Linked DNA regions of Xenopus tropicalis. The protein of the gene in region 7 interacts with the protein of the main gene of each other region in a pairwise test. Links are inferred from orthologs where the notes say so. Each region holds a gene or a part of one and is shown on either strand. Other genes may lie near its edges. The genes, in order: hyi, ing3, mapkbp1, tsc22d4, efhc1, ppp1r18 and tex11.

What was found.
Region 1: the proteins of tex11 (region 7) and hyi interact in binary tests that used the Homo sapiens proteins (3 or more experiments, as listed by UniProt). The two-hybrid records come from large-scale screens. The link is inferred for Xenopus tropicalis from reciprocal best matches to the Homo sapiens genes TEX11 and HYI.
Region 2: the proteins of tex11 (region 7) and ing3 interact in a two-hybrid assay, tested with the Homo sapiens proteins (2 studies listed by BioGRID). The two-hybrid records come from large-scale screens. The link is inferred for Xenopus tropicalis from reciprocal best matches to the Homo sapiens genes TEX11 and ING3.
Region 3: the proteins of tex11 (region 7) and mapkbp1 interact in binary tests that used the Homo sapiens proteins (3 or more experiments, as listed by UniProt). The two-hybrid records come from large-scale screens. The link is inferred for Xenopus tropicalis from reciprocal best matches to the Homo sapiens genes TEX11 and MAPKBP1.
Region 4: the proteins of tex11 (region 7) and tsc22d4 interact in a two-hybrid assay, tested with the Homo sapiens proteins (2 studies listed by BioGRID and IntAct). The two-hybrid records come from large-scale screens. The link is inferred for Xenopus tropicalis from reciprocal best matches to the Homo sapiens genes TEX11 and TSC22D4.
Region 5: the proteins of tex11 (region 7) and efhc1 interact in binary tests that used the Homo sapiens proteins (3 or more experiments, as listed by UniProt). The two-hybrid records come from large-scale screens. The link is inferred for Xenopus tropicalis from reciprocal best matches to the Homo sapiens genes TEX11 and EFHC1.
Region 6: the proteins of tex11 (region 7) and ppp1r18 interact in binary tests that used the Homo sapiens proteins (3 or more experiments, as listed by UniProt). The two-hybrid records come from large-scale screens. The link is inferred for Xenopus tropicalis from reciprocal best matches to the Homo sapiens genes TEX11 and PPP1R18.

Annotation. Positions count from the first base shown.
Region 1 is NC_030680.2:88,658,968-88,663,077, reverse strand, and holds the start of hyi (putative hydroxypyruvate isomerase), read left to right. Parts: upstream 1-1,310; 5' UTR 1,311-1,319; coding exon 1,320-1,509; intron 1,510-2,465; coding exon 2,466-2,577; intron 2,578-3,299; coding exon 3,300-3,414; intron 3,415-3,496; coding exon 3,497-3,575; intron 3,576-4,110. UniProt on the Homo sapiens protein: Catalyzes the reversible isomerization between hydroxypyruvate and 2-hydroxy-3-oxopropanoate (also termed tartronate semialdehyde).
Region 2 is NC_030679.2:69,340,354-69,344,399, reverse strand, and holds the start of ing3 (inhibitor of growth protein 3), read right to left. Parts: upstream 2,801-4,046; 5' UTR 2,733-2,800; coding exon 2,705-2,732; intron 2,588-2,704; coding exon 2,516-2,587; intron 2,465-2,515; exon of another isoform or gene 1,417-2,464; intron 1,307-1,416; coding exon 1,206-1,306; intron 32-1,205; coding exon 1-31. UniProt on the Homo sapiens protein: Component of the NuA4 histone acetyltransferase (HAT) complex which is involved in transcriptional activation of select genes principally by acetylation of nucleosomal histones H4 and H2A.
Region 3 is NC_030684.2:105,038,432-105,041,931, reverse strand, and holds part of mapkbp1 (mitogen-activated protein kinase-binding protein 1), read left to right. Parts: intron 1-346; coding exon 347-469; intron 470-1,464; coding exon 1,465-1,559; intron 1,560-1,663; coding exon 1,664-1,731; intron 1,732-1,992; coding exon 1,993-2,211; intron 2,212-3,500. UniProt on the Homo sapiens protein: Negative regulator of NOD2 function. It down-regulates NOD2-induced processes such as activation of NF-kappa-B signaling, IL8 secretion and antibacterial response. Involved in JNK signaling pathway.
Region 4 is NC_030679.2:151,477,036-151,481,319, forward strand, and holds the start of tsc22d4 (TSC22 domain family protein 4), read left to right. Parts: upstream 1-1,484; 5' UTR 1,485-1,578; intron 1,579-1,603; exon of another isoform or gene 1,604-1,840; intron 1,841-2,007; exon of another isoform or gene 2,008-2,115; intron 2,116-2,198; exon of another isoform or gene 2,199-2,445; intron 2,446-4,284.
Region 5 is NC_030681.2:150,471,709-150,475,208, forward strand, and holds part of efhc1 (EF-hand domain-containing protein 1), read left to right. Parts: intron 1-36; coding exon 37-324; intron 325-574; coding exon 575-724; intron 725-904; coding exon 905-1,097; intron 1,098-1,592; coding exon 1,593-1,822; intron 1,823-3,500. UniProt on the Homo sapiens protein: Microtubule inner protein (MIP) part of the dynein-decorated doublet microtubules (DMTs) in cilia axoneme, which is required for motile cilia beating.
Region 6 is NC_030684.2:75,522,123-75,526,377, reverse strand, and holds the start of ppp1r18 (phostensin), read left to right. Parts: upstream 1-1,455; 5' UTR 1,456-3,147; intron 3,148-3,189; exon of another isoform or gene 3,190-3,311; intron 3,312-3,833; exon of another isoform or gene 3,834-3,882; intron 3,883-4,255.
Region 7 is NC_030684.2:44,770,251-44,774,463, forward strand, and holds the start of tex11 (testis-expressed protein 11), read left to right. Parts: upstream 1-1,413; 5' UTR 1,414-1,468; intron 1,469-3,429; 5' UTR 3,430-3,445; coding exon 3,446-3,485; intron 3,486-4,213. UniProt on the Homo sapiens protein: Regulator of crossing-over during meiosis. Involved in initiation and/or maintenance of chromosome synapsis and formation of crossovers.

The DNA.
Region 1 (4,110 bases), on a different chromosome or scaffold from region 7:
AAATGGAATCTCCACGTCCCATAATACCGGCAACTGTGGAGGCCGCAGGGCGCCCCGTACCTGTAGAGCGAGTTGCACACTGTCAGTGTTATTTAGAGCAGAACAGGTGGGGCAGCAGAAATGCCAAGCTGGCAGCCTTGCTAAAGAGCGGCCAAACACTTCCCATGGCTGGTTACACTTCTGTTTGCCCCCTAAAAAGTTACTCAGTAACAGGCGAGTGTTTCATTAATCACAACGGTGCCCATTCCTGCGAAGTTAAAGGAACTGTAACACAATTTTTTAACATTCAAAATATCCCTTCTATACACTTTGATTATCAAATATATCATACAGAAATTTCAATAGCAGCAGTGTTTTTTTTAGAAATCTTACTTTAGCATTGATTTATAGAGAACAGGCTGCCGTTTACTCCCAAGTCTTGCACCACGCTTCCGTTCAACTCCCCCCTCCACCCCCCTTCCTCTCCTAATGCAGGCACACACAGCGCTACTTCAAACAGCGATGCAGACTTAGCTGGACAGAAGGAACGGTATGTCTTTGATCCCTCTCCTCTCCCTCTCCATGCCCCAACTGCTAACAGCCCATAAATCACTCACAACAGACTCTGAAGAATGCGGCATTTAACTTCCGGATTAAACCGGAAGTCGCCCTTTCAAGCTCTGCACAGTAAAGTACTGGTAATGTGATTTATTTTAAAACCCTGTAGAATATTGCATTTTTTTTAAACGCTACATATATTAATAAAATATTTAGAATGGATATGTATGTATGTATATCTTTATTTATAAAGCACTACTAATGTACGCAGCGCTGTACAGTAGAATACATTAATACAAACAGGGGGTTATAGATAATGGATAAATACAAAGTACAACAATAAATACAATAAATACAAGGTACAGTTGCAATAAGAGTCAGAAACACAAGATGAAGGAGGTCCCTGCCCCGTAGAGCTTACAATCTATATGGGAGGGTAACTAACAGACACAAATGGGCAAATGTAAGTGCTATAGGTCACAGTGGGTGACATTACAATATAAGTGCCAGTTCCCAGATCAAGTGCTGGGTGAGTGCTCCAAAAGGTAGTCTTTAAGTTTAGTTTTAAAAAGACTGATATGTTTAAAGTTATTTTTTTGTGTTACTGTTCCTTTAACAGGCCGTGTCCGGAAAAGACTCAGACTTCCATTACCCCTGTGCCTGCACACCCCGCCTGCCTCCTGCTCCCGATCTAGCACGGTGGGCGTATCCTCGGCCTCTCTTTGCCTGTAATACCGCCTTGCTTTCGGGCTGCAATATAGCGAAGTTTCCCGGTGAATACCATGCATTTTTCGGCCAATATTTCTTGGCTGTTTCAGGACGTGCCTGATTTTCCGGGCCGTATTGAGGCTGCGTCTCAGAGCGGCTTCCGAGCGGTTGAGGTGGCCTGGCCCTACGCTTCCGATAGGACTCTTTTTAAGGCGGCACTAAACAATCACAACACTAGTCTGGTCCTACTCAACACCCCACCAGGTACAATTGGCTTTAATCATATTGTACTGAATAGCTTTAGATCACCTAGCCCCTGGGTTGGAAGGCGCCTTCGCGTTGTACTGTGTCCCGAATATTCTAATTTAGATGCACTTCTGTAGTAACTGGCCAAGAAACTATCTGCGAGTTGTATTGTTATTTTTATTACTTTTCTCTCAGTTCAGACATTTCCTATTCATATTCCAGCCTGGTTGCTAAGATAAATTGTCCCCTAGCAACCAATTAGGTGCTGGAATTACAAACTGGAGAGTGGCTAAACAAAAAGATAAATAAAAAACCACAAGTAATAAAAAATGAAGACCAACTGAAAATTCTCATAAGTTCACTACATTGTACTAAAAGGTAAAGCTAACATATACTGCAGCACTGGGGTGTATGCAAGGTCTATGCATCAAACAAATTAGATACAAATATTAATCAATAGGAGAGGAAAAGAATGTCCTTGCTCAATAGACCTTACAATCTAAAGGTCCTGTCAAAATATGACTATATATGAATAATTTATGCAGTGCCGGACCAAGTCCCCAAGGCAAGTGCCCAACTGTGCCCCAGGTGACAAGTGTGGGGGGGGGGGGTAGTGGCCTTCCTCACCTCCTCTAATTACTTTTCATTAAAGTAATGCTAATTACTTTAATTTCTGCATTCCTGTTCTAGCACCATCTTCTAATTATTAGTCACAGATCTGCTTTCTTTTAATGCAGACATCCATACACGTTAATGATATGTTCACCAATGAAATATGATTTTATTTTGGTAACACAGACTTTTCACATAGACTTTCACATGTAACATAAGTTCATTCGGAAGCTACACACAGTACCAGCAATGCTTGTACACATGATCTTATAATAAGTGCTTTGACAGCAACTGTCACGTGAGTCCTGCAAATGGACATGTATCTGTCAGACAACTGGACTGAATATATTCTCTGTGTGCAGGTAACATAGAAGCTGGTGAACTTGGCCTTGCTGCTGTGCCTGGCAGGCAAGATGAATTCCGAACAGGTCTCAATGAAGCTGTCAGGTGGGCCAGTGATTTAGGATGTGACAGGTACATGCTAATGCTTATTAAATACCATACTGTAGATTACATATCTATTGAAGAGTACAGAGAAATATATTCCTGTATTTGCCCCTCTCTGTTGTCACAGAGTTGCAAATTCAAGAAAATATTTTAAACTGATTGTATAGACTGTATAATCTCTTTTAGAGAACGCTCTATCTATCTATTCAGGTCACATACCTACAGTAAATTCATCTATTTCAGTTATCCCTTGTTAATGTACTCCCAAAATGTAATATTAGAAATCACATTGGAATTCAAATACCTATACAAATGATTGGCCATGGGTTGATTATAACACTTAGGTGTCATAGGATTTATTCTTGATGCATTTAACACAGAGTGCAGCATAACACAGTGGGGAACTCATTTATGAATACTGGGCAAATTTGCACCTGGGCAGCATTTGCTTTCATTGTACTTTCTCCAGCTGGCTAAAAAATAAAATACTACTAATAGCTGTAGGTTGCTGCACAAGTAAGAACAATTTACAGTAAGACCATCACAAAATGGTGGCTCAATGCAAAAGATGTAAAAGGGCAATATTTACTTAATAGTAATATGGTGAGATAGTATAATCGGCCGCTTTTTATGATACATTATCTGTTGGTTAAGTATTTATTCTGAAAGCATAGCTTCGATTTATATTATAGTTTTGCGTATGCCAGAGTGGATGTCTTATAAAATTAACTCTCTTTGTTATGTTTTAGAATTCATATCATGGCAGGACGAGTGCCACTTGGTTTGGAACGACAAAATATTGAGGAAGAGATGGAGGAGACATTTATTGAAAACCTCCAGTATGCAGCAGACATCCTTGCACAGGTGTGTGAGTTTTGGATATATATTTTATAGTATATAAAGCGAGTAAAATATGTTTATAACTTCAAATAAAATATTCACACAGGCTGGAATGGTGGGACTTCTGGAACCTATAAACTCCCTAATCAGTGAACCTCGCTATTTCCTGAACACACCTCAACATGGTAAGTCGGTAAAGCAAAAGAATCAGTTGGGCCAAGTTTTTCTTACAATAGTAGTGTCTACCTCGCTGAAATATCCTTACATTTTGTCATGGAAATATTTGCCTAGACAGCAATAGAATAAACTCATCATAGAACATTGCATTCTTCCTTCCAAGTTGTGGGGGCAGATTTGCAAAAACTAACAAACTTGTTTCCATGAATGTCTTATATTAACTAAGAAATCTGCAATAAAAAAGTCCACGTGGGAAAAATCACGAAAATTTTTTAGACTTAACTTATGAAAACTGCAACATTTAACAAAAAAAATCTGAGTCATTCTCCATTTACTTATACACTGCATAAGAGAATCCCATATAGGAAATAAGAGTAGTACTGTGCAAGACTTTATCAATAATATTGCTCATCATAGAACCTTTATGACTTGGGTTCTTTAAATGAAAACTATACCCCCAGAATGAATACTTAACCAACAGATGGTTTATATTATGTTAAGTGGCCTTAACATAAGGGAATACATACTGTATATCAGTAAATA
Region 2 (4,046 bases), on a different chromosome or scaffold from region 7:
CATCTGCATCTTCCAAAGCTTTGAAGTAATCCTGCAAGTAAATAATTCACACTAAGTCAAAAATTCATATGGTGTTATGTACTAAAAGGTACTAAATTTGGCCTGGGACAGTAGCACTCAGTGATAAGTCACTAGGTAGTTTTTTTTTTTTTTTTACTGATCATCTGTTTAAACGCAGACATTTTATGGGCTGCACATGGGCAACCTTTTTATTATATATGGAAGTTTAAAAATAGGTAAAATACACACAATACATATGCAAATGTATATGACAACCAAATCTCAAACTGCCATACCTTTTTGCATGAATTATTTGTACTGTTTCCCCTCCTTAAATGTTATATTCAGCATAATGAAATACCAAACAATATATTTAATAATTTAAAGTAATAATGTAAAGAGTATGCAGCTGCCATCTTGTACTGTACAGGATCTACCAATGATACCTACTTGTAAAATTAATGTACCAAAAAAATAGTAACACCAAAAATACATGCATTTAAACGTAATGTACTGTTATCCTTCACTAGTACAAAGATAAACAGGAGACAGATGTCAGTTATGGCTCGCTACTGAACAATATACTGAAACCTCTGACATATAAAACATAATGTTGCAAATAAATTTTTATTTGGAGGTGCTTCATCAACAAATTCACAATTGAAATGAATATAAGAATATATTGTCACTTTTTGATGTTACTGGTCCTTTAAGATACATATAGCTCAGAATTTACAAGCACTATATAAAGTTATATAAGCTTATTTGTTCAAGTAAATATTAATTATTACACTTGTCAAAATATAACACATAACAAAAAATAACACCATATGCAAATAAACTGCATACATTTGAAGGGGATCTAAGCCAAAAAATAATATTTTGCCAAGTAAAGAAAATGTAATTCTAAGCAACAATTTTTTGTAAACGTTCGAAAGTTTGAAGTCGAAGTCTGACTTCTTACAGAACCTTGTGCAGTTGTCAAAAAATGTCTTGGATGTTTTAATGCATAAAAAATTGAAATGATGAATAATAAATGCAGGAGAATTAAAAGTTCAGAAACGTTCTGCAACATCTCTCAAGTGCAAAATATGTCAAGAATGAATAAAGATAAATCATTCCTTGTGTAGTCAATAAATTCAAAGTTGGATACCTCTGTATAAATAGTTTGCTACAGATACAACAAATTTTCTTTTTGCACTAACCTTTTTGATAGAAGCCATTTGTTCTTCCCTCCATTCCGGTTTATTTTTCTTAGCATTCATGAAAAACTCCCCAACCCTTTGTTCTAATTGGTCCATGGCATCTGTATTACAAAGAATCAATTACAAATTTCAAGCAACAAACCTCAAATCTTCAACCTTATCTTTACTGTGAATTTTAATATTGTATGTTGGAAGTTGATTATAAATTAACCTTAAAAGTTGTATGCCGATTTCTGATACAAGCACATCTTCATACAGTCAATATTCCACTGACACTATGTGCACAGATGGTACAACCCCACCAAAACACACAACAGATTTAGCGACTGTGCATGTAATTCAGCACCTGCTTGGACACAATTGTTTTAGAACTAATACAAACAGGGGAAAAGAGTGAGTTTTTTGTATGTTTGTTGAGGCTACCAATAGATGGCTTTCCATGAGACAGTTTAAAGCTATATATGCTATATGTCAGTTTCTCTCTTTTTTGAGAAAGGCTGGCCCTCCCTAACCCATCACCCATGAGCATAAAATAAAGTATTTGCTTGCAGACCTTACACAAACTATAGGGAACACTGCACACAGCTGCAAAATAATGATGCATGACATGTAGAACATCTTGTTTTATAGCTATATATAAGTTAAATGAACCTATTTACAAGGAAGAGGAATCAGTATCTGGAGCAAAAATAAAGTTTACTTGACAGTAATCCCTGCTGAAAGGCACAGCAGATAATGGAGCAGATGAAACCTAACAAACAGGTTTAGTACAAATTGTGCAAGGACAAAGGCACACTTTATTTCAGGTCATTATGCCTTTAATGTTCAATTCATTAACTCTAACTTAGCAATTCCAAAGGGGGCTATAGCCCTGAGCTATAGAGTGTTTCCTCCATTTTGAGTTTTCAATTATAACAAAACAATATAAACTTTATTGTGATGAACCCCTAGTGATACAAAACGAGTTTCTGAATACTATGAATCTGTGGGAAACAAACAGACACACTGTAGACTGCGTTTTATTTTACAAATCAAGATGCTGAGTATCTAATATTGCCTGCTCGACGCACCGATGTACAATACTGGGCAAGCAATTGGGATTTGTTTTGGTGCTAAAAGGGCACGTGTGAGACAGCTCAGTACTTCCTCCTAGCGACCAACCACAGCACTGCACTGGATGTACATGGTGCTTTAGCTGCTGGCGCTACCTCTGCCACCGACACAACCACATGTTTCCGGGCCTGGAGTCACCAGGCCACACACATACACCCGTTAGTCGTCGGATAAAGAGCCGAAAGCCGCTCACGTACTCTGCACCTGCAAGTCCATCTCGCGCATTTCCGTGAACCTGTCGCGCAGATCCATGGGAAGCTGCTCGATCACTGCAGAGAGACAGAAGGGAGGGGGAGAGGGCGGTTAATAGGGGGTGTTGCTGATTAAAGCCGTAGCCCTCTCTGTGGCGCACTTTGCGCCGTTCATAGCACGAAAGGCAAACTCACTCTCCAGATAATCCTCCAGGTACAACATATTTTCGATTTCACGAACGCAAAGGCCTCAGCAACGGATGACTATTTTTCCCAGACAATATGGCGCCGAGTCAGGAGCTGCAGAACAGAAAAGGAGAACAGCAGCTGCTTGGCGCATGCGCTGGCTGCTCGCACTTCCGATGTCAACGCCTTTTAATGCCGCAGGGCACTATGGGGATTGTAGTATTTTTGTCAGTTTGCGCTATACTCACTTTTGTTTTTGCTTGGCCGAGGTTCTTTAGAAGAAGAGAAACTTTAGGCTGTGGGATTAGGAGTGGTTTTTATTATTGAAGAATGGATGATTATTTTAAATATACTTTAATAAAATAATATAAAACTAGGTGGTAGTTCATCGGTGTGTAAAATGGTGGAAGAAGGGAAAGAGCCAAGATTGTTTGTAGACAATGCTCAGTGGAATAGTCAATACCACATATACCTGCTTTAGTTAGTTTCATCTTGAGCCAAATAACCTACCTGTATTTTTAGTTGTGTGAGAGGAAAATAAGTTTTGGAACACATCCACCAAGACCTAAAATGCCAGGACGTTAATTCCCTGGTCAAAATGAAACCCAGGAAACTAGAGCTGCTTTGACTTTGCATTGACAAGTGTAATTTTTACTAAATGTCATGGTACAATTCCAGCCAGGTGACATCCCTTCATTTTTGTTTGCACACGGTTGGGCCCATAGAGGCCCAGACTGGCAATGTGTGGATTCTGGCAACTGCCAGAGGGGCTGCTGTAACATGCTGTAGATAGTCACTATTTAGTGGGCTTGTGGGGGGCTGTTTGGGCCTCTGTGTACCTGAAATTCTATAGCCTATTTTGAACCCTAGTCGAGGCCTGTGCCTAAATCTAATCATTTACCTATTGTTAGTGTTATTAGGGATCAAAGATAACTAGTGTTTTGAAATCACCAATATTCAAATAATTTTATATTTTTCTATAAAAAGCAACACCCTGTATATATAGCATATAGGAAGGACAGCATTTTTTTCATAGAAAATGTAGAACTTAATAAAAATAAAATCATCTGCTATTAACTCACCACACTTAAGAACTTTCACCCCATTTTCTTATCCTGGTGATCTATTTATCAGTTGGAGCATTAGTAGGAAAATCTTAAAGAGTTACTGACACCAGAATTTAAACCATCTGTCATAACATTGTATTTGGATGCTATTTATAATGGTTTCCTTAAGAGTATTTGCCCAATGCTTTTATATTACCTATCTGATCCCACTTGATCAACATAAGAAGCTATAACAGACAAGTTGAGAAGTGACAGTCAGGTCAGCAAAACAGTCAGGCTTACTA
Region 3 (3,500 bases), about 60 Mb from region 7:
GGTAAACTTAGTTCTTTTTATTACATATATGTGCTAGTGTTTTATGTAACCCGCTGAGGTAACTACAGATTTCATTTTTCTACAGAAAATATTTTTTTTTCTTGGCTTCAACCACATTTGGCTGTCGCTAACAGATGTCACCTATACAGATCCGCTGATTTTAGCACAAATTAGCAATTTGCAGTTTTAAAACCATTGCAAAACAGCATGGTTGAGTTCTTTGCAGCAAGAAAAGATGTTGTTTTAAGGAAGCACACTTATAAAGTATGACAAAAACATTATGAGAAAAAAATAATAAAACCCCCTCTGTCACACCCCATCTAACCAGCATGCATTATTCTTGCAGCTGCATTTTCATTTGGAGACTGAGCTCAGAGATGACCATTAATATGCGCCAGAGGTTAGCAGAAGTCAGGCAGCGTGGGAAGCAAGTGGAGATGTCTGCACCACACAAAACGCCAAATGCAAGGTAAATGCAATGCTGGTTTATTCAGCTCACCAATTTCTTAGCACTTTGAACTTGACTGCATTGACTGCATGATTTCAGAGTGTCTCTCAGTAGTCACCGTGGCCAGCACTGCACCTCTTTCATATACTTATTGGAAGCATAGTGATACCTTGTGGTACAGCACATCATTTGTAGCTTTCTGATGACCTGCAGTGATGTCATGAGGCATCTTCACCCATGCCTATTCCAGCAATGGACCATGATGTTGGATTTAGCCAGATCATAAGTGAAGCTAACTACCCGTTATGTACAAGTCAGGAAGAACTCAACCCGCACCCAACCCTGACCTGCACCAAGGCCGTACCTGAGTTCTTGCTCTGTACACTACTTCTCAAGTTCTTTGGGGGCAGATAGAGAGCATACTTTCCCTCTCTGGCCCACACCCAACACAAACCCACAATGGTCACCCAGTTTTTTAACCTGAACCCACTAAATCTGTCCAACCAACATATCACTACTAACTACATCAGCTAGGGGCAGATTGGGTGATCTGGTTGGTGGTGTGTACCTTAGCCTAAGGTTTGTGTCATACATGGGCAATCCTTGCTCCAAAATGTCTGCCTCAAAGCAGCATGTTGGAAACATGTTGGATTATGAATATCAGTGTGTGGATGTGGTTTTATGTTTTATTTACTAGGGATGTATCAAATCCAGGATTCGGAATCCTTAAAATCATGTGCCTTTTTGTCACATAAACACAGAAATTTTTCACCACTCACTGCACATGCGGTTTTTTCATTCATCATTGCCCTAATTTGCATATGCTAATTAGCATTTGGATTAGGCTCAGACTAATATTTTATGAAGGATTCCGGTTTGGCCTAATCCCAAAATAGTGGATTCATTGCATCCTTATTAATTACATTGATAGTGACTTTCCAGGCAGTTGCATCAAGTTTACATGAAGCATAACATTCACTTTTAATTCAGCACTTTTTTTTTTTTTTTTTTTACAGGCGAGAGACCATTGCTGTTATGTCTACAGCCCCTGCAATGTCATCAGACAGTGATAAAGAAGGGGTGGAAGATGGCAGTGATGAGGACATGGCAGGCAAGGACCTTCCCTAATGCCGATTTTCATTTAATTATTTCATTTTCTCTCAATATAACACTTATGGTTTAAATAATGCTTTTATTGTATCATTTGCTGTGTAGGGTCTGATAAGACTTCCAGTGCCTCCAGTTCTTTTGGAAGAAGCCTTTCTTACTGGGAAATGAAAAGGGTAAGTGTAGTAATGTCTCTACAGACTCATCCTATGCCTACAGCTTCTTTGGATGTAGACTCGACAGGCATGTTGCTGGTGTTTTATAGGCTACATAAGGATTTCTATATCTTACTTTTCTTTCTCACCCTGGCTGCTTTAGTTCTTCTATTTGGTTACTTGTTTTATACAAGTTCAATCTCTTACATTCATTGTCACTGTTACAAATGTATATTTGCTCTTATGTCCAATTTTTTTTTTTTTTTTAATCGTCTACTTAAGGGCACAAACGCATCTTCGGAAAGATCAGACTGCCTGAGTAAGATGCCCAGACAACGTGTTCGTTGGTCCCAACCTGCTGGTAACATTGAGATGACTGTTAAGTCCATGCTTGACTTGAGACAACTGGATTCCTTTGCCCCAAGTGATGACGTAATTGGATTCCAGCCTAGCGAGGGGCTTGGAATGGAGTTTGTGGATACAGATAATCCAAGGAGCCAGGTGTGACATAGCAGATGAGAATATATATGGATCTAATACTTGACGTATCAAAGTACATGCTGCTATTTATGTATATGCCTTGTGGTGTTCTGATGTTCTAACTGCCATTCATTTCCTTTCAAGAGATCATGATTAAATACAAAATAGTTAAGTTGTTGAGCTGTCAAAACTCCTGCTCCACACGGTGCACTCCTCTCTTCTAGGTGGTAATTTCCCCCCCTTGCTGTGCCTGGCCAGTTCAGGTACCTAGTGTGTATGAGTAGTTGGAAAGCCAATTAATGTGTGAAATGACTGTAGGCTTAGCAGCATGGCAGGAACTCAAAGTGCTTTAGGCCGAAGTTCAGAGTTTGTTTATATGCCATTAATTCTTAAAGGAGAACTAAACCCTAGAAATGCCATATTTTATATACTGAGCTTAATGCACCAGCCTTAAGGTCCAGCATCTCTATAACAGTAATGATCTTGGTTTTCAAAATTGTCACAGGAGCTCCCCATCTTGCTGACAGTAGTTACCTAAGCTTAGGGACGGACTAAAAATATACAGCTTATATATAATAAAATATTCACTATACAAGGCTGATAAGTAATTACATAGCAGCTCCAAAAGCCGCACAATTAGCATCAGAATTTAATAATCAACCCTGTAGTATCAGATTATATGACAGGCAAACCTTGTTTTCTGCTTGATTTGCGACGGCGTCATCCTCCTGTGAGGAAAGTGACCCCCTGTGACAACTCTGAAGACCTGGATCATTGCGGCTATAGAGATGCTGAACCTTTATGCTGGTGCATTGAATTCAGTATATATAATATGGCATTTGTAGTCATATTCATTTTTAAGGTTAAGTTCTCCTTTAAGGTATTTCAGAATGTTTTGTTTTTTTTGTATTTTTGAATGTTATAAGAAACTTAATATACTGTAAAAGTTTCCATAGTTCCCATTTGAATAGAATTAAAAGCAAAATCTACATTATCACTAGGTGTAGGTGCTCTTCTCTCAGCAACTCCAGTTGCATTTTCTTGAGTGCTAATTAATTTTGGTACATAATGAGCGTTATCCTGTTCAATGAGTAAAGAGTGCTGTGGGGTGGAAACCGCGTTCATAATCATTTGAGTTTTATTATTATATGAACCCTGTAAATATAATTATAGCCCGCTACAAAAGGCTTATATTTTAGTTGTACACCAGTATTTAATTGTTGGCTGCATTTCAAGCACAAATTTTAGAGGCACAACACATCATTGCCATAGTATACCCACAAATGGATTGTTCCAATGCAATAAATCAT
Region 4 (4,284 bases), on a different chromosome or scaffold from region 7:
AGTAGGGGGTACAGGGTAAGTACAATAGGCTGGGGGGGGGGATACACAGAGTAGGGGGTATAGGGTAAGTACAATAGGCTGGGGGGGGGATACACAGAGTAGGGGTATAGGGTAAGTACAATAGGCTGGGGGGGGGGGGATACACAGAGTAGGGGTATAGGTAAGTACAATAGGCTGGGGAGGGGATACACAGAGTAGGGTATAGGGTAAGTACAATAGGCTGGGGGGGGATACACAGAGTAGGGGGTATAGGGTAAGTACAATAGGCTGGGGGGGTATACACACAGGAGTAGGATAGTAGGGGTATAGGGTAAGTACAATAGGCTGGGGGGGGGGATACACAGAGTACGGGTATAGGGTAAGTACAATAGGGGGGGGGGGATACACAGAGTAGGGAGTATAGGGTAAGTACAATAGGCTGGGGGAGGGATACACAGAGTAGGGGTATAGGGTAAGTACAATAGGCTGGGGAGGGGATACACAGAGTAGGGGAGTATAGGGTAAGTACAATAGGCTGGGAGGGGATACACAGAGTAGGGGAGTATAGGGTAAGTACAATAGGCTGGGGAGGGGATACACAGAGTAGGGGAGTATAGGGTAAGTACAATAGGCTGGGGGGGGATACACAGAGTAGGGGTATAGGGTAAGTACAATAGGCTGGGGAGGGGATACACAGAGTAGGGGAGTATAGGGTAAGTACAATAGGCTGGGGAGGGGATACACAGAGTAGGGGAGTATAGGGTAAGTACAATAGGCTGGGGAGGGGATACACAGAGTAGGGGAGTATAGGGTAAGTACAATAGGCTGGGGAGGGGATACACAGAGTAGGGGAGTATAGGGTAAGTACAATAGGCTGGGGAGGGGATACACAGAGTAGGGGAGTATAGGGTAAGTACAATAGGCTGGGGAGGGGATACACAGAGTAGGGGAGTATAGGGTAAGTACAATAGGCTGGGGAGGGGATACACAGAGTAGGGGAGTATAGGGTAAGTACAATAGGCTGGGGGGGGGATACACAGAGTAGGGGAGTATAGGGTAAGTACAATAGGCTGGGGAGGGATACACAGAGTAGGGGAGTATAGGGTAAGTACAATAGGCTGGGGAGGGGATACACAGAGTAGGGGAGTATAGGGTAAGTACAATAGGCTGGGGAGGGGATACACAGAGTAGGGGTATAGGGTAAGTACAATAGGCTGGGGGGGGGGGGATACACAGAGTAGGGGGTATAGGGTAAGTACAATAGGGGTGCAGAGAAGGTTGGGGGTGAAACTTGTACTGGGGCTGAGGGAAGTGTGAATGGGAGAGTGAGGGGAGGAGGAGGGCAGAGAGGCAGAAGGAGGAGGGCAGAGAGGCAGAAGGAGGAGGGCAGAGAGGCAGAAGGAGGAGGGCAGAGAGGCAGAAGGAGGAGGGCAGAGAGGCAGAAGGAGGAGGGCAGAGAGGCAGAAGGAGGAGGGCAGAGAGGCAGAAGGAGGAGGGCAGAGAGGCAGAAGGAGGAGGGCAGAGAGGCAGAAGGAGGCAGTGAGAGGCGACAGATACAAGAGGTTGGACTTCCTGACACAGGAGATGTCAACAGGCTGAGTAAGGAGGGAGGGAAGGAGGGAGAGACTGCGAGAGAGAGAGGGAGAGAGAGGGAGAGAGAGGGAGAGACTGCGAGAGAGAGAGGGAGAGAGAGGGAGAGACTGTTTCAGGCCACAGAACATGAACTGAGAGACTCACAAACCTGCAGCTGCATGGAGAGAAAGTTTCCTGGAGTCGTGTGAGGCATGGAGCATCCCTGAGTGTGAGAGCCATCTCCCCTGAGAGTGAGTGGGGGAGCCAGGAGGAGTCACACAGAGGGAAGGTAAGAGTGAGAGTGAGTGGGGGAGCCAGGAGGAGTCACACAGAGGGAAGGTAAGAGTGAGTGTGAGAGTGAGTGGGGGAGCCAGGGGGAGTCACACAGAGGGAAGGTAAGAGTGAGTGTGAGAGTGAGTGGGGGGAGCCAGGGGGAGTCACACAGAGGGAAGGTAAGAGTGAGTGTGAGAGTGAGTGGGGGAGCCAGGAGGGGTCACACAGAGGGAAGGTAAGAGTGAGTGTGAGAGTGAGTGGGGGAGCCAGGAGGAGTCACACAGAGGGAAGGTAAGAGTGAGAGTGAGTGGGGGAGCCAGGAGGAGTCACACAGAGGGAAGCTAAGAGTGAGTGTGAGAGTGAGTGGGGGAGCCAGGGGGAGTCACACAGAGGGAAGGTAAGAGTGAGTGTGAGAGTGAGTGGGGGAGCCAGGGGGAGTCACACAGAGGGAAGGTAAGAGTGAGTGTGAGAGTGAGTGGGGGAGCCAGGAGGGGTCACACAGAGGGAAGGTAAGAGTGAGTGTGAGAGTGAGTGGGGGAGCCAGGAGGGGTCACACAGAGGGAAGGTAAGAGTGAGTGTGAGAGTGAGTGGGGGAGCCAGGGGGAGTCACACAGAGGGAAGGTAAGAGTGAGTGTGAGAGTGAGTGGGGGAGTAAGGAGAGACTTGTACCTTACCTGAGAGACAGAGGAGTAAGAGAGAGTCGAGTGAGAAAGTGAGTGCAAGAGATGGAGCTTTACTTAGAGTGGGGCTGATTGGATTGGAACTGAGTCGGGGGCTGAGGCTGATGGGAAATATTCTTGTACTGGGGCATTTGGGATATATACAGTGTATGTGCTGGTACCTATGAGAGACCCCCCCATCATCCTGTCTGTGGGGGCCCCCTGCTCCCGTCTGACTAACTCCTACCCATAATCCACCCAAACCCCACAAACTCAGTGCTGGAATTGGGGTGAAAAAACAGAGGGATGCTGTGGAAAAATAGGCCCCACCCACTGCTGTAATAAGCCACACCCACCCATTACATTACATTACAGGGGGGGTTGTTTTGCCCTGATGTAGGAAGTGAAATTCTAAGACCATCTGCAATTGGTTTTCTTTTTTGTGGTTTTTGAGTTATTTCGCTGTTTTATTCAGCCGCTACCTGGTTGCTAGGGTCCAAATTACCCTAGCAGCCAGGCCTTGGTTTGAATGAGAGGCTGGAATTGGAATAGCGGAGGGCTTGGATACAAAGATGAACATTTGTTTTTGAGATGTCGGGGGTCAGCGACCCTCATGTAACTGCCGGACGGATTCAGAACGAGGCAAACCATTCAAAAACTATAAAGCAGAAAAAATAAAGCCCAACTGAAAAGTTGCTTAGAATTAGCTTCCAGCACATCTCACCTTTCCCCAGTTTCCCAAAGGCCCACAGGCCGCTAATAATGTGCGTTATTGGGCCCACTGGTGCCACGGTCACATGCTGTAATGTCTGCAACCTGATTGGCTGAATACTGAGCATTTCTATAAAAACGTATAACTTCCCATTGGCTAGGCGGGGGCTTACAGGGTTACCCCCACGACCCATTAGGCAAACCGCCCCTAGTTGACTGGGTGCCCCCTGCATACTCTGTGCCAAAGGTACCGTGGGGCCACCAGGAGCCGCACAAATATAACCCCCTGCTGCGCACAGTAAAGGAGAATATGAGTGCCAGGGAGCCTGAGAGCAGTGATTGGCTGTGCCAATTCCCCGGCCTTGAATTGTTTTTCAGCTTTTATCCTTTCATGTGATACCATAACACAGGCTATAACTCCCTGCACTGACTCCCCACGCTCTATTGGCCACCCTGTCACTGCCGGCCTTACAGTGCATCATGGGATGTAGTTCTTCTGTATATCCCTTAACCCACAGCAGCTCTTCCTCCCTCTTCTACCAATCACTGCTGCCTCAGTGTGAATATACAATCCTTTATGTTTATACCATATCCCTGCAGCCCCTCAGTGACTGCTAATATCCTTATCATTTACAGTAGGGGGTACAGTATCCCTTATAATACATGAGTGATACTCAGAGTTCCCTGTATAACTCAGCCTGCAGCCTTGTGCCTTTATATGGGGGGCACAGAACCCCTCAGTGACTGCTAATATCCTTATCATTTACAGTAGGGGGTACATTATCCCTATAATTACATGAGTGATACTCAGAGTTTCCCTGTATATACTCAGCCTTGCAGCCTTGTGCCTTTATATGGGGGGCACAGACCCCTCAGTGACTGCTAATATCCTTATCATTTACAGTAGGGGGTACATTATCCCTTATAATACATGAGTGATACTCAGAGTTCCCTGTATAACTCAGCCTGCAGCCTTGTGCCTTTATATGGGGGGCACAGAACCCCTCAGTGACTGCTAAATATCCTTATCATTTACAGTAGGGGGGTACATTATCCCTTATAATACATGAGTGATACTCAGAGTTCCCTG
Region 5 (3,500 bases), on a different chromosome or scaffold from region 7:
TTGCCAGTAAGTGATTCATTCTCCATAATCTTTCAGGTGCTCAGGTTTGAGGGTTACTTCCAAGAGACTGTCCCCCTGTCCCCGGAGGAGCACTACCGAGTGCGCAGAGTCACGCTGTATTACTATCTGGAAGATGACACTATATCAGTGATAGAGCCACCTATGGAAAATTCCGGCATCCCCCAAGGAACATTTATCAAGCGCCAAAGACACCCCAAGAATGCAAACGGGGATCCCTATCACTGGAAGGATCTAAATGTGGGGATCAACGTCACTTTGTACGGCCGAACCTTCCGCCTTATCAGCTGTGACAGTTTCACACAGGTACCTTTGTTCCATTGGCCATAAAGAGAGTTGGGGGGAGTCTGGCCATTGCAGGAAGCCTTGGACCCCAATATGAAAGGGAAAAATTGTCCCCCAGTTTCCTAACAACAGCTGAATAGATAGGAAACAGTTTACTTTGCATAAAGGCAAATCAAATTATCACCTGACGCGCTTCACGCGCCCTACAACCTGTAGGAACCATATTGCTAATGTTTTTGATTAACAAGAATCTCTTGCTTGGCGTGGGCAGGAATTCCTGGAGAGCGAGGGCATCGAGCTGAACCCCCCAGAGGGCATCCCTACAGACCCATTTACTGAACTGAGGAGGAGGCCCAATCGCACATTCGTCACCCCATCCGACTTCGATAAGCTCAAGCAGTACCTCACTATGGACCGTAAGGTGAGTCCGAGGGCGTCAATAATCTAGGTCACTCTGGTCTTGAACCTGTAGCCTCGCTTGTGTGCCCACCTAAAGACCAAGGGAACAGCACCCCTAGTGGTCATATATACACAATGCGATATAAGTATGGACCTTCTAACCCAATAAAACCAGAATAAAACTCCTTGACTCCCTCTGCAGGTTCTGCGCTTCTTTGCTGTGTGGGACGACACGGAGAGCATGTTTGGAGAGAAGCACCCGGTGCTCATTCACTACTACCTGTCTGACGACACAGTGGAAATCAGGGAAGTGCATGAGCGAAACGATGGACGCGACCCATTCCCAGTGTTGATGAAACGCCAACACTTACCTAAAGTGGTGAATGATACAAAAGGTAAGACTACCTACTGGGGTAGGGAACTGCAAGGTATGGGGTTGGGAACCTCATTTCTGGGAACCCAAGGAGAAGCTCTGGGTCCCAATATGCTTCCACCACCACCCTTAGATTAATTTGGCTTAGAACACATATCTCAAGGAAGCTCTAGAAAGCTAGCTAAGGAATGGTGGGTTATTTCAGACCTATAGTGTGAGGTTGTTGTATATGCTGGTTGGCCATACTCTTCCACTGGAGACCCAAGAGATGGACGTGGTCCTCCAAGAGGTTTCTACATATAATTTTCTTATAATCCAACACCCAAACATGTGTTATATCAAGTAAAGTGTCCTACTTATTGAAAGTATTGATGGTGTTGGAAGGGGTGTGGAACAATTTGTTCAGATAGGGCGGGTCTAATAGCCGACTGTATATGGAAATGCTAAAAAAACAATGACTCGTTATTAGGTTATTGTTGTTTCTGTGTTTCTGACCCTCCATGTTTGCGTTGACCAGACACCTTCCCAATGTGTGTGCTGGAGATCTCAGACCAAGAGGTGAAGGAATGGTTTTCCCCTGGAGATTTCAAAGTAGGAAAGCACATTAGTATTCTAGGACGCAAGTTCTTTATCTATGACTGTGATGCCTACACTCGAGACTTCTACAGAGATAAAATGGGGATCGGAGACCTTCAGCCTGTTGAGGTTAACAAGGAGAGAGAAGATGAGGAAGAGAAGGTCATCCAGGTAGGCTGTAGGCTTCTACTGATTTACTTCTGATATTACCACCAAGTCCAGGTAGGGTGTAGGCTTCTACTGATTTACTTCTGATATTACCACCAAGTCCACGTAGGGTGTAGGCTTCTACTGATTTACTTCTGATATTACCACCAAGTCCAGGTAGGCTGTAGGCTTCTACTGATTTACTTCTGATATTACCACCAAGTCCAGGTAGGGTGTAGGCTTCTACTGATTTACTTCTGATATTACCACCAAGTCCACGTAGGGTGTAGGCTTCTACTGATTTACTTCTGATATTACCACCAAGTCCAGGTAGGCTGTAGGCTTCTACTGATTTACTTCTGATATTACCACCAAGTCCAGGTAGGGTGTAGGCTTCTACTGATTTACTTCTTATATTACCACCAAGTCCAGGTAGGGTGTAGGCTTCTACTGATTTACTTCTGATATTACCACCAAGTCCACGTAGGGTGTAGGCTTCTACTGATTTACTTCTGATATTGCCACCAAGTCCAGGTAGGGTGTAGGCTTCTACTGATTTACTTCTGATATTGCCACCAAGTCCAGGTAGGGTGTAGGCTGATGTACTTCTGATATTGCCACAAAGTCCAGGTAGGGTGTAGGCTTCTACTAATGTTCTTCTGATATTGCCACCAAGTCCAGGTAGGTTGTAGGCTTCTACAGATTTACTTCTGATATTGCCACCAAGTCCAGGTAGGGTGTAGGCTTCTACTGATTTACTTCTGATATTGCCACCAAGTCCAGGTAGGGTGTAGGCTTCTGCTGATTTACTTCTGATATTACCACCAAGTCCACGTAGGGTGTAGGCTTCTACTGATTTACTTCTGATATTACCACCAAGTCCAGGTATGATGTAGGCTTCTACTGACGTTCTTCTGATATTGCCACCAAGCTATGAGTACATTTCACAGGCGCAATCCATGCATTTTAGAACTCAAGAGGGCATGTTTGATGATGGTCGTGGGGTTTGGGGGAACATCTACAGATGGTAACAACATTTTTTAGAAGTTCAGTAGAGTGTTGTATTGCCCAAACAAGGTGAGCTCTGAGATGGAAGTGAAGTGCACTTGTGGACCAGGTTTAGGCCTACCCACGCTTGCTCTTTTAGGGATTTTTGGGATCTAAAAAAAGTTAGTAGATGTCAACGTGCTCAAGGCCCTAGAGATGTGGCTTCAAGGACAGCAAAACTGCTGATAAGACACTCATGTTACTAGCAGTTAGAGGGTCCTGCAGCGCTTTGGGATTATATATGATTTTCAAACATATATTGAAGCTCCTCATTAGTTAGTGCCCTACTTAGTAGAATCTTCTTGCTCTGTTTCCTCCCCCAAGTGAGATGGGTCTAACAAACACCTTGATTCTTGTCCTTGTTGCAGTTCTGTTCTGTACCCGGTTCCTCTTCCTCGTTCTGTTTTTCCTGGGGTTGTTTTCTCAGTTTTGCTCCGGGTTTTGGTCTTTAACTTTCCCTGTTTTGGTTGAGCTTATCAGTTATTGACCAGGCTGACCTGTTAATCTCCACCTACATCTAAACTTGATTTAGTCTTTTCCAGTTTATACGTTTAACTCCTTCATCAGCACTTATGGAACTCCATAGTATAACGGGGGGCAGTTTTGAAGGGCTCCTAGTGGAGGCAAAGGGGCATTTATAGTCTGAGGCTGGGTT
Region 6 (4,255 bases), about 31 Mb from region 7:
GCAGTTGAAGGCTGGTAATGCACATAACTGGCAAAGTAATGCCCACAAAATTGATTGGCAAAGTGGTGTCCAAGATCAAGTTGCACTGACCCACCGAATTAATTGGCAAAGTAATGTCCAACTTGGCACTTATTCATTGAGTGCTGTAAAGTCGAGCATCAAATGTCCTACATACAAGGACACTGCTACCGTCGGGCAAGGTGAGAATCTTGACTCGGGTGGCAGTTGCCCTGCACCAGGGCTGGCAAAAAAAATTTGCTCCTGGTATCTTTAAGAGCTGAAATTCTGGTTATTAAAGGAATACTGTCATGATTTTTATGGTGTACTTTTTATTTCTAAATTACACTGTTTACATAGCGCATAATCCACTCTTACCAGTTAAAATTTTATTCTTGAACCAACAAATGTTTTGGGGTTTTTTTTTATTGTAATATTGATGTGTAGGCAGCCATCTCAGTGCATTGTGCCGGAGTCTGAGCTTTTAGAAGGAGCCAGTGCTACACATTAGAACTGCTTTCAGGTAACCTATTGTTTCTTTTACTCCCATGTAACTGGAGGAGTCTCAAGCTGGACTTGGATTTCTTACTATTGAGTGTTATTCTGATATCTACTGGGAGCTGCTATCTTGCTACCTTCCCATTGTTCTGATGATCAGCTGCTGGGAGTGGGATGATATCACTCCAAGTTGCAGCTCAGCTGTAAAGTGTGACCGAAGTTTATCAGTGCACAGGTCACATGGCTGTAGCACCCTGGGAAATTAAGAATATGGCTAGCCCCATGTGAAATTTTAAAATTAAATATAAAAAAAAAAATCCTGTATTTTTAAAAAATGGATTACAATGCAGGATTCAGCTGGAGAAGTTTCATTAACATGCATTTTGAAAAAAAAAAACATGGTTCCTCATGACAGCATTTCTTTAAACTACAAATTTGGCTTAATTCTAGTATAGAGTGCGGTTGTGCCAGTTGGACAGCACTGATGTACACAATGCCTATTGATCTGGTTAAGGGAAGAGTACTGCAGCTAATAGCAATGACCATAGCTTTATCTATATCTATACACAGGAATGTTAACTGGCTCCTTTATAAAACTGATCATAGTGTGTGTGAATGTGATAGGGACCCTAGATTGTAAGCTTCAAAAGGGGCAGGGCCTGATGCAAAAGTATATAATATAGTATGTAATCTCTGTAAAGTACAAGTATGGGACCTGTTATACAGAATGCTCGTAGTTTTCCAGATAAGAGATCTTTCCACAATTTAGATTTCCATACCTTAAATCGACTAAAAAAGGTACTTGTATTGATTGTATTGTGTCCAATAAGAATTAATTATATCTTAGTTGGGATGAAGTACAAGGTACTGTTTTATTACTACAGAGAAAAAGGAAATCATTTAAAAAAAAAATAGAATTATTTTCTTATAATGGAGTCTATGGGTGGTGGGCTTCCTGTATTTCAGAACTTTCAAAATAAAAAGATTTCCAAATATCGCATTCCATAAATGTACTGCAAAATAGGTCAGCGCTATATAACTACAGGATAAAAATACTTGGAGTAAGAAGTATGTTCAGATTGTGATGGATTATATTTTCCCTAAATAGGATTGCTAAAAACCTTGTAGCATGGCGCACAAGCCCAAATGCATTATGCTGAATGATCAGGTTATACACAAAATAAATGCCAATGGCTAAGGCTATGATCACATGTAGCTGTTTTTTGGGCTGCATACTGGGTCAGACTGGGTTGTGCAGGGCCCATTAGTTTGCCGCCCCAGGGGCCTCAGCAGTGGCCTCCACACCCCCTCCAGGGGCACCACAGACCAACTCCATCCCTCCCAAGTGTGCTTACATTATACCTCAACACGATCAGGGAAAGGAGATCATGTCTGGGTCGTGGAAGCCCACAGAGTTAGTCCAACTCTGGCTGCATATAAATGCAGATGCAAGTAGCAGCTCAACCACTCAAATCAGCCTGGTCTGGTATCTGTGCTAATAAGCACTGCTTCAGCCTGTGTACAGTCACAGAGCAGATTTCAGTGTGAAAATGCATATTGACACTTTTCTGTGCTGAAATTCACTTTGTGTGCAGGTGAGTGGTTCATCTGTTTCTTGGCCTGCATTTATACACAGACCAAAAACCAGCTTTGTGTAACTGTTGCCTATGGTTCAGTTTCTTATACTTTGTGTGGCTTTCTAGTGTTCAGTCTGTAAATTCACCCTAACCACGCATAACTGAAGCACTCTGCATTAAGTTTTACATATGTATTGTATTGTGTTGTGTCCGTCCATATAAATAGTATAAAATATAATACATGAGGTAGCTCTTATTTCATGCACAATTTGCCTTAGTAGTATGTTATTAAACTCAAAACAAACATCCAAAAAGCTAAAACTTCTTACTGTTTAGGATATTTATGTTAAAGCATAAATAATCTGTCATGTGCTGTTGCTTAGTATTTTTTTCCATTAGTCCCATCCTGTCCCCCACTGTTGTGTGTACGTTGTACTGATTTAGTATCTTGAGTATAAAAAATACAGAATGTCTGTGTGTGTCTTGTAGTGGATATTTAAGAGCAGTCTTTGCTTTTTTTCACAATAGGGCATTAAAATGATTTTTTAAAAACTAAAAATCCCAGCATTTTCTTAAAACAAAGCCCATTTGCCTTACCGATGTCAATAGAAAAAAGTACAGTGCTATGTAAGGGTTAACTTGTCTGTAGTATCTCCCCCCACCATCCTTCCTCTCTCCACCCTCCCCCTTTACTCTTAGCATTATGCATAGCTGGAACCTCACCCTCCACCCCCCTCTCTCCTTCTGTCTGATTCAATCCCTTCTTCCTACACACCCTTCTCTTTCACTCTCTGGGAATTCCTCTCCAATGCAAAGGTTGCCCAAGCTATAAGTCCCTAGTCTTTACATTGTACATCTGTATTTGCTTTAAGGGTCTGAAGGAATTGGGCTCACTTGAAGACGTGTGACGCTTTGGGACTTTCCACAGAGAAACGCTACATATTCTTATGTTTTTGGGTTTAAGTTTAACAAAGGAAACTGCTCCAGACATCAGTTCACTTCTCCTAACATCAAGGCATCCTGCTGGGCTATAGGATGTATTAGAGGGGATTGTGCCTGCTTACTCACAATAAAGGTATGTAACATATCTGACTATATCCTGTGGGTTTCTGCATGTCATTTCATATGTGCATACAAGTACAATGAGATCACTTTTGCGCACTCTCACTTCATATCTTCCACCAACTTGTCCTCTATTCTATTTCTTTGGTGCCACTATAAAGTGTGATTCCCACTCTAGTAAGTATTTTTTGAGAGAAGAACATACTCTGATTTACCTTTTGTTTAAATCCTCACCAATCGCTACAACACAGGTTATGCAGTATATTTTCATACTTTAGTGTTATTTGTGCGATAATATACAGTCTCCTACATACATACATAGACAAACAAATATATAGACTTAACATCCTTCTCACTGTTTAAATCTATTTTACTCGGTGCATAGAAAGTACTGCTGTGTATGCAGCTGCCTATTTTTTTGCTTTTGTCTTTACCTTCCATGAATCTCCTAAACCTTAGCGATGTACATCTCCTCCGTTTTCTGTAGAACTGTCAGTGCATCTCCCTCTTTCCTGTTTGCCCACTCATCTCTTGCAGGCATGTCTGAATTATTTGTATCTAGTTCTCCTATTTTGCTTTTTCTCCCTTTTCAGAATGTATGTTTTACATTTCTTTGTCTGGTTCAGCAGTATGGCTATCTGTCAGTCTAGACAATTCCATCCTCCTCATTTTAATTTGGTTGCTCCAATTGTTCCACAGATCTGTATCTGAAGAGTTTCCCAACTTGAAGACCAGACAATTATAATCTGTAAGATTTTGTTTGTACCATGAGAAAAACAGATGTATAAAGGTTGATACTAAACAGTTTTAAATTTTAATTCAAAATTGTAATGCCTTATACTGAAAATACTTTCAGAACCTTAGTTACATTATCTAGACCCTTATTTTGTATAAAACATTGCAGAATTGTTTTGTCCATACATTTAATTAAGCCCTCTAACAGTGTATTTCAGCCTTTTCTTACCCCCATGCTTATTTCTCTTTTTATTCTGCGTATCCTCTTTCTCTTCCTCTTTCTCTTCCTCTCTAATGAACTCTACACATGCTTCTTTATATGTCATTTGACTTTTTAAGTGTAACTTTCTTTTTTAGCTGTATGAAATTATTTTCCTGTCATTACT
Region 7 (4,213 bases):
CGCCGATGGGATGGTATACGCTTGCTGCAATATCCCGAAGTTTCCTCTCAAGACAACTTCAGGCGACTTCGGGACATTGCAGCGACGCGTATGCCATTCCACTGGCGATTTACATTCTAGCCGGTGGGATGGCATTGCAGGGAGATTTGTTGCAATCTCTATGTGTGCCAATGACCAATGTGAAGACACATGGAGCTACTAGTAGCAGCTACTTGTTGTGGCTACTAAAATAGACAATGCTAATCATTTACTGATAATTGTCTTTATGTGTGTTTTAGCGGAAGCAGTTCTAAATATTGTCTATGGCAAGGTCATTTCTGGAGTTAAGTAAACATGAAAGTAGCTGCTACTAGTAGCTCACTGTGTTTTCACCCTTAGGGCTCTGGCACACGGGGAGATTAGTCGCCCGCAACAAAACTCCCTGTTCGCGGGCGACTAATCTCCCCGGATTGCCATCCCACCGGCGAAAATGTAAATCGCTGGTGGGATGGCATACGCGGTGGCGTGATTTCAGTATGCCACGTATGCCATCCCACCGGCGACTTACATTTTCGCTGGTGGGATGGCATTTCGGGGAGATTAGTTGCCCGAGACACGGGAGATTTGTCGCAGGCGACTAATCTCCCCGTGTGCCAGAGCCCTAAAGGATAGCAACAACGTCCTTGACAATCATACTTGACACCATTCTACTACTCATAATAGTGCTAAATAAAATGGTGCACATGGATGGCAGTCCCATAGAAAGAACTTTGTTACACTGTCACTGCGCAGCATTATATTGTACAGCTTAATCATTCTCTAAACAAACCCAGAATTGAGGCTCAAAATGAAGTTGCCAGACTATATTGGAGGCAATGTAAGTGCAAAGCATGCTGAAATAAATGTAGCCCTAGCCCCTATATATAGGGACCTGTGTATATGGACTCATGTAATCCTGTTCTTACTAACATAGTTCAGACTCCATGATTTCAATTTGAAATAGAAATATTAGACAGTTGACAGAGGAGACATTATCCCTATTGACATATATTACATATTGACAAATAGAAAGACAAGGTCGCAGTGAAGGTCACAGTGAAATTTTTTTTAATCTGTTCATGCCATTGCTTTGTTTTGCTGTTCTGTGATACTATAAAGCAGACATGAAGATTTTCCAGATGTCACTCCCTTCACAGTGAACATGCTCAGTCTACTCCTTGCCTACATAAATATTATCCCTCATAGTAAGAAATATGCTTTTGTCTTTCTTTATTTGAGCATTTCTGTAGGAAAAAAAAAGCTTAAATTAAGTAAGGCTTCAATCTTGCTGTAATGGGCCCAGCCTGCTGGGCTATTCACTCTGAGTAACCCTGTTTTACTGTGTGGTTCTGTGGCTGGGACTTAGCTCCGCCCCTTCCTTAATAAGCAGCTGTGAGGAGAATCAGAGCAGGGAATCCCCTCAGATATAGAGAGCAGGGAATCCCCTCAGGTATAGAGAGCAGGTTCTCTTCCTGTTTGTGTAGATATGTGAGAATCTGTCAGTCCGTATGGATGGTGTATAACTTGTGAATGCAAATGTGTGTGTTTGTGCATGTGTGTGACAGTTTTATAATATCTGTGCCTGTGTGTGAGAGGTAGTGTTGCCACCTGCCCGCCTGGCAAAACATACAAACATAGGGAGACTGGTAATTGTTTTCCAGAATGTGGCAATTCTAGTGTGAGAGGATTATACAAACAAAATATTTTATGCATATATGTGTGAGAGGGAGAATATACATGCCGTTGTGAATTTATATAAGGGTTTGTGTATTATAAGATATAATAGCAGACAGGGCCTTTCAAGCTCAGTCATGAGGTGTAGAGAGATGAAACACTGGAATTGCCCCCCCAGCGAATTGCAGAAAATAACCCAACCCCATGTCATGAGGGAGATAATAAGCAATTTCAGGCCTTTTTGAGACCTTATTTCATGTTATCATTAAGCGTGAAGGCCTAAAAACACCGGGACTGGATTATTATCTCCCTCATGAGATAGCGCTGCATTTTGCCATGCCTATTACCCTTAAACCGGCCATACACACACCGATAATATCGTACAAACCTCGTTTTCACTTCACGAAAATATCCGCCCTATGCCTCGTCTGCCATCAGCCTAATGCACAAGTGAAAATGCATTGATTCAGCCTGATTTAATGAATTATATGGGGCATTACCATGTGGTGACGAAAGGTTTTACTTTTATGGCTTTAGCTTGTTGTACCTACAGATGCAACCAGGACCAGATTTGTGGAGAGGCAACAAAGGCCCGGGCCTAGGGAGGCAGAAATTTAGGGGCAGCATGCCACCCCGCCGCAACAAAATTTTTTAATTTTGCACCCATAGGGAGAAATGGGGACCTTTCCCCACTGCTCCGTATTGGAGTTGAACTATTTGCGCATGCGCAATCGCTGCCGGGGGGGGGGGTGTGGAGTTCGCACATGCGCGCTCGGGGAGGAGAGGGGGGGCGGCCTAGGGGCACACGGAACACAAATCCGGCGCTGGATGCAACTGATTTGCAACTGGTGAAGTAAATGGTTGTTGGGAGGGTAATGATTTATCCCTGTCAATACCACAGTGGAATAAACTGGAGATCCACACAGCACTTATAGATGAAGTCAGGAACCATTTATTTAAAGCCACATTCACAGAATCTTTACAACTTTATTCACATACAGGGTCGGAAAAATCCCGGTGGGCCCCGACGGCCCAGACCCGACTCTTGCAGCGCTCCACCTACCCGACCACTCCTCCCCTGACGTGTTAAATTTACGCTCTCGGGGTAGGACGTCGGGTGGGGGGCCCTGCGAGGGGGGTTGGGGGGCCTGCCCCCCCGGTGGGCCCTTCACCCCCCTTACATCCCCCATACATTCATACACCCTTAGTTGTTATAACAGATCAGTGAGTAAGATATCACAGCAGACAGATGTTTCAAGTGTGTCAACAGACATCCTGCTGCCCTGAAGATATCTAGCATAAATGGACAAAAATAAAGATTTAGGGCAGCTTAACCTCCCTAAAAAGTAAAAAACATATTTACATGTGACTTATTCAGTATAACTCCCAACATTTAAATTTCCAAATGCAGACCAAATTAGTCCCACACCTGGCTCATCCTAGCCACACTCAGCTACACCCAACACTCCCAAATCTTCCTTTAACCCATTATTTGTTGAAAAACCCCTTCCCTTTTTCAGGCCTCTAGACCGTCTGTCAAACAACTGTGACTCTGGGAGATATGGGCAGTGCCTCAGTTAATACCTTCAGCATACCTGAAAACTAGGGACCTTAAACTGTAAACTCCACTGGGGCACAGATTAATGTGACTAATGTATAACCCCTGTAATGTTTCTCTGTGCGCATAATAATGTACTCCTGGGCTCTATAATCTGCTAAATGAATTTCTTTCTCTAGAGGTTTTGGTTGATTGATGAAAATGGAGGATGGGTCGTCTTTGAAAAGAATAACAGGTAACATTCATGTATAAAAATGGTCCCATTGCTTGACATTTATTGCTTTTTTTAAAATGAAATAAAATATACTTGTAAACACTGACAAATAAGCACACATTCTTCCCTTATGGCAGCCCACCTTTGGCCTGTAATACATTTTTAATCCTAAGCAAAATGCAGAGTACAACAGTGCTCTGGATGCAAGAGATGTGTAAATTAATATGATTTTGTACTACTTGGTGCTCTTGCATCTGCATACCCCCCAACATTTGAAAAATTAAAAGAGGGACAAAAAGATTTGGCGTGCAGCGCAGCAAATTTTTGACCACGCCTACTTTTGTGGCCACGCCCCAACTACCACCGCAAGTGTGCTATACCCTCATACTGTACTACTTAAGGAAAGCAATATAGCAACTACATATAAAATACAAATATAGAGAGAAGGCAGTCAGTTGAGAGTTATAAGTGAGTTATAACTATCTACCAGTTTTGCCTCCCCATACACAGTGCCCCCAAAGGCCCAATAGATAGTACCCCCCATGCACAGTGCCCCCAATTGCCCCCATACACAGTGCCCCCAACTGCCCCCATAGACAGTACCCCCATACACAGTGCCCCAATTGCCCCCATAGACAGTACCCCCCATACACAGTGCCCCAAATTGCCCCCATAGACAGTACCCCCCATTCACAGTGCCCCCATAGACAGTACCCCTAATACACAGTGCCCCCGAGTGCCCCCATAGA